Caenorhabditis elegans: one gene and its partner. The protein of the gene in region 1 purifies or fractionates together with the protein of each later gene. This does not show direct contact. Each region holds a gene or a part of one and is shown on either strand. Other genes may lie near its edges.

Region 1 (3,829 bases):
TGGCTTATAAATACCGAGAAAGTGCTAAAAAATTGTCCGAAAATTGAAAATTGCCGGTGAAAATTGCCGCCAATTTTTCGACAATTTTCACCGGCAATTTTCAATATTCAGACAATCTTAAAACACTTTCTCGGTTTTTCCAAGTCTAATAAAAATTATTTCCAGATGGAGAAAATAATTTTATATAATCTATTATTAAACTTTAATAAAAAATATCGGGGGAACATGCCCAACCGTCTCATTTTGTACAATTGCCGCGCACCCCTGGTCAGAATATCATTTAAGACTTTAATTTGTTTTTCAGAGACATGTCGGATATTTTGATGTCCACAAACCTCACTACCGAGTATCCGAGGACCAGCATGCAGGATAGTCGTTTGTGGCTCATCTGTCTAGCTCCAAGTGGTTGGCTCTTTGCGGTCATTCTCATCATTTATGCCTTTCGAAAAAACAAACGACGCATGCAAGTTTTCGATATCTATCACCTCAACGAAAGCAACGATCAGGCCCGTGGCAATGCCGATGGAGCACCTCCACAAGAACATCAAGTCCATAACCATGTCAATGGAGGTTATCAAAACGGTCAAGTCGAAGACGACCTTGAGGAAAATGCACATCCACCTCAGGAACGACTACAAGAAAGAGTATAATCCCGATGTTTTTCTATTGATTTCGTATATCATTTGTTGCAGTTTCAAGATACACATTAATAAAAAAACACTCTGAAAAACTAATGTTACTACTGATTATCTTTCACAGACTCCCTCCACAGACATTTAAACTACCGGAATTTTTCACGTATACTGCCTTTCATATTATAAAAGAATCTGGATTGGTTCCATTGTAAAGTAAACTTTCAAATATGAGTATTTTCTTTGGGACGTCTAAAGTTTCACAAACGCTCTTCACTCGAATTTCTTTATTTGCTTGTTCCGGTCTCAATAGTGAGAAACTGGTAACATCCAAAAATCTAACGTTTCATTATTGATATATTATTTTCGGCTCATCGTCTAGGTTCAATTTAATCAACTCATTTGTATGCTGCTCACCTTTGTTTGAGTGGAAACCGCAATAAAAAGGTTCGGCTGAACATTAGCAAACATCATAACTGTTTCCCTAATGCTGTGATAAATATAAAATTGAGAAATTCACGGACCAAACATTCTCAATACAAATCATTTCTCCAGTGCTACGAGTACAATGGTGAATTTGGTTTTTCAGCTATGGAAATAAAAAACAGGAATATATTCAACTTTACCCGCTGAATTTTGTTTTTTTCGGTATTAAAATTTAAAAACTGAATAGAATACAAATTTTATTTATAACATGAAACAGATTTTTGAACTCCTACTCTTTTGTATTTATATTCCGTTTTTGGTCAGTAATCAATTTTGGTAATTATAAAAGCAAACCTGCTCTATCGCATTTTTTTTGATCTACAGACATGAGCGCATCTTTTTTCTCTTTTCACAACAAAAAAACAACAACTCTTAGCATATCTGTGTATCGCGTGTCCCCACACTCTTTCTTCATTCCCTCTTCAGTTCACACACTCTCTCTCTCTCTCTCTCTCTCTCTCTCTCTCTCTCTCTCTCTCTCTCTCTCTCTCTCTCTCTCTCTTGCCTCGTAAGGGCCGCGCAGGTGTGTGCGCGCGCAATGGTTCCGACCATTCGAGAACTCATCAGTCCTTACTTGCCATTTCATTGTTTCATTCCTCTCTCTAACTCTTTTTTCTTAACTCATTTCTTCAATTTCAGGTAATGTCTCCTTTGTGGCTCGTTGTCTTTATAGTCCCACTGGCGTCTGGAATTAGTTTGTCTGATTGTTCTAAAAAGAACTCGTGCTACGGATCTCCGGTCAATTGCCAGCCGGGTATTGATTGCCACGTGCTCCTTCGCTTTGAGGATGATGGCACTTTGGATGTTCACCTGCAAAACTTCACTGCCCCTGATGGATACGTCGCTCTTGCCTATAACTCTAATCAGAATGCCCCTACCGAGTACCTGATCTGCATTCCTCATGAGCGCAAACGTCTTCGTGGAATTTCTTCTCAAGGCGAGATCATAACAATCACTGAGCAGGTATTTTAAGTTTCTGTATGATGGTTCACCGATGTTTATTTAATTATTTTCAGAACATGGCTCAATACGTAGCTCAGATGGACACCAATACATTCATTTGCTCGTTTGTTGGAAAGGAAATTCCTTCCAACTTCAGAATGCAGTCGAATTTTGTGGTTTCTGAAGGATTATTCGCGAATGAGAGCAACATTCCAACGACGTACAAGCTCGAACCCATCAGCACGGACAGTGTCTTCTTCCACCCCATTGCAGCAACCATTGGCCGACAAGACGAAGCCTTATCTGAAGATGAGGAAAAGTTGGCTACGGATCTGCTTGGGAAGGTCCAGAGACTTTCTGATCATGATTCTGAATCTACTGATATGGAGGCAATTCTCAATGAAAAAAACAGATTCACAATTGAGGAATTTGAGGAAAAACTCTTTTCGGCAATGTCTAATCGTCGCCGCCCAATCAAGAAGTTTGAGCGGGAGGAAGAAGATCAAGACGATGATGAATATTCTGAAGTTGAAGAGAAGGAATCGCATCCCAAAAAGCGTCGTGAACATAAGAAAGGGCGCCACACCCGAGTTCTCAGCGACGAGCAAGAAGAGGATTACGATCAATACGAGGATGATATGCCATCGAAGAAAAGAAAACGTCCGTTCAACAGCGAGGAGCTTGAGAATGGCGAAGATGTGGACTTTGGCAAAAAGTCTAACAAAAACAGCAAAAGGGGACGTTCGATGGACAAAGACAGAGATGATGATGATGCTTACAATAGGTAAACGGAATGAACGTTTTTAGATCAAATGAACCATTAATTTTTCAGTTCGGACGATGACTACGACAACAGCTCTGCCAAATTCAAGCACTTCCGCAACGCCATCATCATCCTTGTCTTCTGCATTCATTTCTAAATCCTTGTTAAAAGATCATCGCGGCATATTTTTTAATTATTTATTGCATTAACATTTTGTGCTCCTTTGCGGATTGTTTGATATAACACATCGGGTATCTATTGAAAAGTAAATTAACTTTTTTGAACGACGTGTTTTTTTTCTGAATTCCAAAACATGTTTGAGGACTCTAGATGGAAGTGTTCGGGAAACTGGGATTTTTTATTCGACGAAACACTTAAGTAAATGAGTTTTCAGTTTATTATTGGAGCAACAACGGTATTTGCAAGACCGCAGCTGTTCACTCCTCTCGCCAGACGGAAGTACCTGAGAACGAATAACTGATGAATTTCCGAAACAAAAATCACTAACCCGCTTGCGCCCCATGAAGTTCCCCATGAATTTTTAACAATCCAGTAGGCTGATTCTCCTTCTCCGCCGTATCCAATAATTGTGAGAGCATGAGCTCCCATTGACTTTTCCGTACAGTCTTCAACAGATGGATTAAAAATTCCAGAACGATAACTGTACATTGCTTTGACGACATTCATTCCTGAAAACAAAAAGATGTTGTATATTTTAATGATTTAATAAGGCATTCATTACCAAAAGTGACGGGTCCTTTAGTTCCAACCCAATTTGCGATATCTTCTTCATTATTTGATAACATCCGGAAATCATCAATGAACACCCGAGTGTCATTTTCTTTCAAAAAGCACTGGTCGTGTTTTAAAGCGGAGTAAGGGTATTCTTTTTCGCTTTCCAAGCCATTTTCTTTCACAAATCTTAACTTTTCAGGCTTTCAAATCCTATTTTTTTGAAAATAGTTCACTCACTTCATAGCATATGGACGATATCCACCACTGCAGC
Region 2 (7,827 bases), on another chromosome or scaffold:
TCCCCATGTCTCCGTCCGGTCTCTTCGCCAGAAACTCGAGAAGGAGCTCGTCCTGAAGCCTAAGGAGCAAGTGCTCGCCGAGCAACAACACAAAGCCAACTGCGATGAGCCAAGCTTTGTCTCTGAAATCTTCTGCACCCCAAGAGCAGTTTTCAGCGATGAAACTGTAGTTCTGCTGGAGCCAACGAATGCCAGAGAGAGGAGAGAATACGAGGCGCAGGCGGACAGAGAAAATCAGTGGTGGACTAGATCTCTTCGGTGCTAATAGAATTCAATAAAGTATCTTATTTTCCTCGTTTTACAAAAATTAGGGCTCCAGGGAAGCCTATATTGTTGCAGATTTTAGAAATTTCGAGATTTCAGTTTTCCAGCTCAGTTTCTCAAGCAGAAATACCAAAATTTTCAAAAGTTTGCACCCATGGTAACTCTTTTTATGTGACCATAAATATGTGAAAAGATCCAATAAAAAGTTAAGATGGGCTGCACTATTTCGTCGTTTTCTTTTCCACCTCCTACAGTGAACAAATCGCGGCGCGCGCGTATTTTGTTTGTATGTTTTTCGGCCCCGATATGTGCAGCTAGTGAAAGGGAAAAGTGTTCCGTGTTCCCTCGGCGATGGTCAGTTTCCACAGTTTTTAGTTAATTTTTATAGGTTTTTTTTTAATTTTTCACAATTTTAGGGAAAATTAGATATGAAGTAGAAATTTTTACACTGAAATCGACTTAGAATGCCTCTAAATTATGCAATTCCTTATTGTTAAATCTATTAAAATTCGGATAAAATTTTGACAGTGCAAAAATTAGCTAGAAATCTCAGTTTTGTCACCTTTTCCTGCCAGAAATTGATTGTTATTCAATGTCCATCTATTTTGTCTATTTTCGCTGATTTAGGTGCATTTTCAGTAAATATGTGCTCAATTTTTGTTAATTTTGAACCTAAAAACTCGGTTTTCAAAGCTTTATCGAATTTTTAAAATGAAAATCTCCAATTTTACATGTTTTTCTACACACTTTGAACATTTTCGTTGACTTTTCGTAGTTTCTAACCCAATTTTTTGAAAAATTACAAAATCTTCTTATAAATTCATTAATTCACCTTCCAAAATAATAGAAATAATTATTTCTATTAAAAACAATAAACATTGCCCGTCAAATATCGCGCCTGCGTCCCCTGCGGTGTTTGCGTACATCATCGATCTCACTCTCTCCATCTCTCTGCGTCTCTCACCATTTGCCACGTCGCTGGCATCACTCTCACTCTCTCACTCACACACAACAAAACGCGGCGTTCTCTGGACGAATTGCCCGAATTCACGAATAAATCTGCAAATTACCGATGAAAATCGATTCGAAATTCGATTATTTATCCATATAATTATTGATATTTTGTCCCCTTGGCCCCCCGAATTCGCAAAAATGCCTATTTCCCACCAAATCTCACTCACTTCTTCTCACACTTTTTTCCAGTTCTTCTTGAGCATAATTCAAAGGTTGAGTTCGAATTGAATCCTGTGTAAATCTTCCCAGCAGACAAATTTTGGCTTTAAATAATTCGAAAATTATTGATTTTTCGTATTTTAAGGTATGGACGACGAGGATTCACTTTTGGAACGAATCGCCGAAGTTGGTGAGTTTTAGACGATTTTTAGCCGTTTTTTCGTAATTTTTGAGTCATTTTACCCCAAAAAATTATATAAAATTAAAAAACAAAAAATGCAAAATTAAAGTAAAATGCTCAATTTCAGATAATCTAGAAGAAGAAGAAGAAGACGATGAAGTAGTGAAGTCAGGCTCTCCGGAGGCAGAAGCCGAAGCTCTGGACTATAACGAGGATCCAGAGGACGGAGAAGAAGGTGAAGAGAAGGAAGAAGCTTCGGAAGACGGAGAAATTGAGGAAAAAGCTGAGAAATCGGATAAAGAAGATGAAGAAGAGAAAGAAGACGGAGAACTTGAAGACGGCGAGCTCGAGGACAGTGATGACGGCGAAATTAAGGATGATGAGCCGCAAAAACGAGGTAGAAATTGAATTTTTTTTTTATTAAAATAATGGCTTTAAAGTAATTTCCATGAATTTCAGCGCCTATTACGGCTCCAGCTGGGTCCGCTAGAAGGCCCATAGAGGTTGGTTCGAGTATGAATGATGTGAGTCGATGTTGTCCGTCTCGTTTTGCATGGAATCCTGAAAGTAGCCTGAAAAAAGCTAAAAATTGCAATTTTTCGTGTCAGAAATCGATTTTTATTCGTTGTTTCGTGCAATTTGGCACATTTTTGCTCTTTTTTCACAAAAAAAAAGCGCAAAAAATCGGACACCGGCAGGTGGAAACCCGAATTTCGCTATTTTTAAATTAATTTTCCCATAAAATAACCCACAAAGATCAATTTTCACAGTGAAATACGTTTGAAAAGCCCCATTTTCAGTAAAAATGCAATTTTTGGAGTAGTTTTATCGATTAAACCGCAAATTTCGGATAAAACCTTCAATTTTTCTTGTCATAGCGGTTAGAAATCATTTTTTACTGGATTTCTACGATTTTTCGCTCATTTTGGCTCAATTTTAGTCGAAATGTGCACAAAATGCCCTTAAATCAGGGAAAAATCGGTCAAAATGGGCAAAAAATAGTAAAAATTATGTGAAAAGCGATGGAAAACTGCATAATTGTGAATTTTATCCGATTTTTATCATTTTTCCGATAAAATTACCTATTTTTACTGCAAAACTCCAATTTTCCCAATTTTTAGCTTTCTTTTGTCGCTCATTTTAGTCAATTTTATTGGCTTTTTCTGTCTCAAAGCCTAATTTTCAGCGATTTTATTGATTTTTGTGAAATTTTTGAGCTTTTTGATGCATTTTAAGCATGATTTTTAACGTTTTTAATCATATTTTGTGTGAATTTTCTGCTTTCAACCCTCAAATTCTCAATTTTCAGAACCGAATTTCCCGTCCAATGGGTCGACAACTTCCACCAATCCGGAATCATCCATATGTGCCACGTCGCGAAGATCCTGGAACAGTTTCATGGGAAGCTGCACTTTTAGCAGCAAAAAGAGCTGTTAATGGTCGCGAAGGTTGGTAAAAATTGATTTTTCAGCTGAAAATCCGAATTTTTCAGTCCAAAAAACAGAAAAATCCGCAAATTTCGAAGAAAAACACTGAAATTTGCAGTTTTTCAGTGAATTTCAGAGCAATTTTTGATTTTTGGAAGTAAAAAATTCGGCAAAAAATACAAAAAATCTCGGGAAAACTGGAAAAAACTCAAAAAAAACTCAAAATTTCCCTCAAAACCGATAATACTAGCGATTTTTCAATAAAAGTCACTAATTTCATAGAAAATCTCCAATTTTACCACTTTTCATTAAATTTTTTTCAGTTTTCCTGCTGAAAATCTACAAAATAGGCGAAAAACTGCCGACGTTTAGCTAATTTTCATGTTTTTAGACCATTTTTCAGTGTTTTAAAGCTTAAAAATGCTCCAATTTCAGACGCAGAAGCTGATCGAGGATCCACGTCACCTACGGATCCAGACAAACGGGCGATCCCATCGCTTTTGGACATCCGGACCCACAAACCACAAATGAAAGGTTTAATTTTACGCGAAATTTGAAAATAAAACGAGGTTTTTCGGTCCATTTTTTGGCCATTCACCTCTAAAAATGCAATTTTCTACCTAAAAATTCAAATTTTTTCAGATCTCGGCCCACAAGTGATCTACCCGAATCGCGCGCCGCCAAATCCATCATCATCACAAAATCGATTTAAACGTGACTCCGCGCCATCGGCACCGGCTCGCGATGCTCCAATGTTTCGTGGCAGGACCATTAGTCAGCGCCAGGCGCCACCACAAATTACCCGCCGAAATTCGTCAAAATCACCGCCTGCACGTGGAATTAGCTATTCGCCGTCGAAATTCGATGCTCACGAGATATCCAGTGATACAGATGAGGAAGCAATGCAGAAACGACCGCCGAGAGAGCGGAAAATTACACTGAAAAAGGCGAAACGGTCGTCTTCGGTGTCTTCGTCCACTTCTGAGTGCGTAAAAAGACTGTTTTTATGGGAAAATCGTCTAAAAATGTGTTTTTTTCTTCATTTTCAACAAAAATCGCAAATTTGGCGCAAAAATTTGGTTTTTTTCGGCAAAATAATGTGTTTTTCCATTGTTTTTCAATTAAAAATTCGCAAGTGCGGCACGAAAAAAGGGGCGGGGTTTCGTTTTGCAAGTCTGCGGCGCGGCTTTTTATTTTCAGATTTTTCAAGGATTTATTCGTTTTTTTCTTTAAACTAAAATTTTTTTTTTTTTTTTTTTTTCTTTAAACTAATTTCTATTAAACTAAAAACAGTGCCGCAGCCTTGCAAATCGAAACCACGCCCCTTTTTTCGTGCGGCACATGCGGATTGGAAATTTAACGCAACTAAAAATGGTTAAAATTACAATTTTTTCCCAAAAATTCGGAGAAAGTTGCAAAAAAATTGGAAAAATTGACGAAAATTTTCAAAAATCAGAAAAAATTGCACAAATGGCTAAAAAATCGGTAAAAAATTGCCAAAAATCAGAAAACTTTAAAACAAAATTTCAAAAAACCGGAAAAAATTTGCAAAAAAATGGAAAAAAATTCTAAAAATCGGAAAAATTGCAAAAAAAATTCCAAAAAGTTGCGAGAAATCAGTAAATTGGAAAAAAAATCGATAAAAAAACCAAAAAAAATTCTACTTTCAGAGCCACAATCCCTGGAGCCCGTGACATCTCCACCGACTCATCTGACGCCGGATCTTCTAGCAGACGGCGCCGAGCTCGTCGCCGAAGTCACCGATCTCGTTCCCGAACCTATTCAACATCCTCAGATCGTGGAAGCTCATCGAAACGATCCCGTCAGCAGCAGCACATGAAGCGGAAGACTCCATCGTCACCATCACGAAGATCCCGAAGCCGTTCACCTCCACCATATCCACCGGGACACGATAAAAAAATGTTCCAGCAGAAGAAAAAACGGCAGGATAGTGTGGTTACAGGAGATATTCATGCTTATCGGATCCCGAAACGAAGCTCTTCCGGCAGGGATTCTCAGAATTCTTCGTTTTTCAGCAAGAATGGAGCAAGTAGCAGCTCAAGATCTCAAATCAAACGATCTCGTCAAAGATCGGAGACCCCACCGATGGTTCCATCGGCGAAACGTCGGAAGGATGATCAGAAGCAGAAGCTTCGACGTGGAGACACTGCTGGTGGACCTCAGAATATTAGTGGTGATAGTGATGATAGTGCATCGACATTTGACTCTCGGCGAGGAAAAAGGATCTCGAAGATCAAACGGAACCGCCGATCGCCTTCTAAGGAGAGCATCACGTCGAGAAGTAGCTCGTCGAGCTCGTCGAGCAGAAGCAGGAGTCGATCTAGTCATTCGGATAGCTCAGGTGCTGCTTTATTTGGATGAAAATTTTGGGGATTTTTAGCGAAAAAATGGAAACATTTGTTTAAAAAAAAAACCGCCAGAAACTATAAAATATGTCGATTTTAACGGAAATAAGCCTTTAAAATTTGATATTTTCACCCGAAATTTGAAAAAAAAAAGATCAAAAATCGATGAAATTAACTCAATTAACTCAATTTGACACTAAAAAATCGCAAAATTTGAGTTTTAAAAAATTCCGAAAAAAAATCCGAAAAACTATGGTATTTACGTCAAAAAAGAGAAATTCCATTGAAAATTGATTATTTTTTCTAGAAGTTTGAAAAAATCCATCGAGAAATCGATAAAATTTTGGTTTTTCCTGGAAAAAAACCACCCCAAAACTATAGAATCTATTAGAATGCAAAAAATTTGCTAAAAAATGCTGAAATTTGATGAATTTCTATTCATTTTCACCACAAATTTGCCCTAAAATTTCCGAAAAACACCGAATTGCCATGTGTCGATTTACGTGGCTCTCGTGTACTCCTCGAGGAGAAGATTTCGCAAATTTTGGCTTTTTCAATACAAAAATTAGATTTTTCTATTGATTTTCTATTAAAAACCAACACGAAGATTTTTCGAACATTTTTCTCGGCAAAAATTGAAAATTTGAAGAAAAATTGCAGAAATTCATTGGAAAATTTCCCAAAAAAATTCCAAAAAATCAAAAAAAAAATCGCATAAATATATCAGAAAAATTAGAACATTTAATTTTTTCCAAAAAAAATTTTTTTTCGAAAAAACGTCAAAAAATATAAAAAAAAAACGAAAAAATAGTGATTTTCTTTGAAAAAATCAGAAAAAATCGCCAAAATTATTCAAAAATTAATTTTTTTCCAGATTCCTCCAGCTCCAAACTTCCATCTCGCTACCGCCAAAAACTTCCAACGGAGCAAGAGAAAATCAGCTCCGATGAGGATGAGCCAGCGGAGCCAATTGCTCAAAAAGCTGCAGCTCCAGTGAGCCCAAATCCAGCTTCATCGCGCTCCGCATCACCGGAGCCAGCTCAGCAAGTCGATGAGCTTCTGGAATCCGAAGAAGCTGCTCCACCACCACCACCTCCACCGCCACCAGAAAATGAGCCGGAGGAATTTCCACCACCACCACCGTCGATTTCGATTCGGGAAACGAAGAAACAGTTGAAAATGCGGCTGAAATCAATCAATAAAATGCTGGAAATTCAAAAATCCTCCCCGTTGCTCGAGGGAAATTCATCGGAGAGCTCGGCCACGGCGACTGCTCAATGAGCACTAATTTCTTGGGATTTTTAATTCAAAAAGTTGAAAAATAGTCTAAAAAGCTGAAAAAAACCGAGCAATTTCGCTGATTGGTCCAAAAGTGGGCGGAGCGAATCGCTGATTGGTCGCAGTTGAATTTTTCATTTTTTGTTTTTTTTTCAATTTTTTGAAGCAAAATCCCTAGAAATAAATTAAATTTCATATTTTATTTATTTATTCCCCATCTCCTCCCACCCACATCTAAAGTGCAATAGAGCACGCTTTCTCTCTCTCGTTTTTGCTACGGTTTTTCAATTTTTCCCTTCTTTTCTCTCTACCAAAATCGCTATAATATTTTTTTTTAATTGGGTTTTTTCAATTATTTTACCCCGAACCCCCCCTCCCCGTCGGTTTTTGTGATTGTTTAGAAATATTTTTATGTGTGGTTTAGTTTTTGAAACTTTTTCTGTTTTTTTTTTGTCTATATAAATACAATATCTGGGAATTTTTAAAGATTTTTTGTGTATTTTTTGGGTTTAGAGACGATTTAATATTCAGAAAATGACTTATTTCTTTTTAAAAACTACTATTTGAATATATGGAAGAGCTGGCCGTGTAAAACCTCTTCCACGGCCATGTGTCGATTTACAAGACTCGTGTACTCCCCGTGGAGAAGATCTTGCAGTTATTTGCTATTTTTCACTTAAACCACTAAACGAAACAAAAAATAATTTTAAAAAGTGTAAAACCACGTATTTTGAAAAAAAAGGAAAATCTTCTCCTCGGGGAGTACACGAGCTGCGTAAATCTACATTTCACCGATATTTCCCAAAAAAATTCGAAAAAAAACCATCAAAATTGATGAAATTTTTGAAATTGTTCCCAGAAATTTGAAAAAAAATACAATTTTACTAAAATATCCGTTTTTTTCCAGAATTCTATCGAAAAAAAAAATGAGCAAAGACGTACGAATTGGAGAGCCAGGAGAATCCACGTCTCGGGGAGGAGGTAATTTTCAATTTTTGAGAAAAAAATAAATTGAAATTTTGAACTAAAAATGATAATTTTCCGTAAAAAATTGGAAAAACAATCAAAAAATCGTCAAAAAATCAATAAATTTACGAAAAAATCGATAAATTTTCCGTAAAAATCAATTTTTTTGGAA

What was found.
Region 2: the proteins of R09F10.8 (region 1) and C15C6.3 fractionate together in Caenorhabditis elegans (co-fractionation; one large-scale study listed by BioGRID). This does not show direct contact.

The regions. Positions count from the first base shown.
Region 1 is NC_003284.9:8,324,380-8,328,208, reverse strand, and holds R09F10.8 (DOMON domain-containing protein), read left to right. Parts: upstream 1-1,757; 5' UTR 1,758-1,760; coding exon 1,761-2,081; intron 2,082-2,134; coding exon 2,135-2,844; intron 2,845-2,892; coding exon 2,893-2,980; 3' UTR 2,981-3,102; downstream 3,103-3,829. Other genes in the region: F55E10.4 (Cubilin), read left to right, coding at 309-650; R09F10.1 (Papain family cysteine protease), read right to left, coding at 3,214-3,286, 3,332-3,512, 3,566-3,744, 3,796-3,829.
Region 2 is NC_003279.8:12,205,515-12,213,341, forward strand, and holds C15C6.3 (YTH domain-containing protein), read left to right. Parts: upstream 1-1,582; 5' UTR 1,583-1,584; coding exon 1,585-1,627; intron 1,628-1,745; coding exon 1,746-2,015; intron 2,016-2,077; coding exon 2,078-2,142; intron 2,143-2,927; coding exon 2,928-3,066; intron 3,067-3,480; coding exon 3,481-3,579; intron 3,580-3,687; coding exon 3,688-4,072; intron 4,073-4,715; coding exon 4,716-5,407; intron 5,408-6,285; coding exon 6,286-6,692; 3' UTR 6,693-7,175; downstream 7,176-7,827. Other genes in the region: C15C6.2 (DUF7778 domain-containing protein), read left to right, coding at 1-265; popl-4 (Ribonuclease P protein subunit p29), read left to right, coding at 7,616-7,670.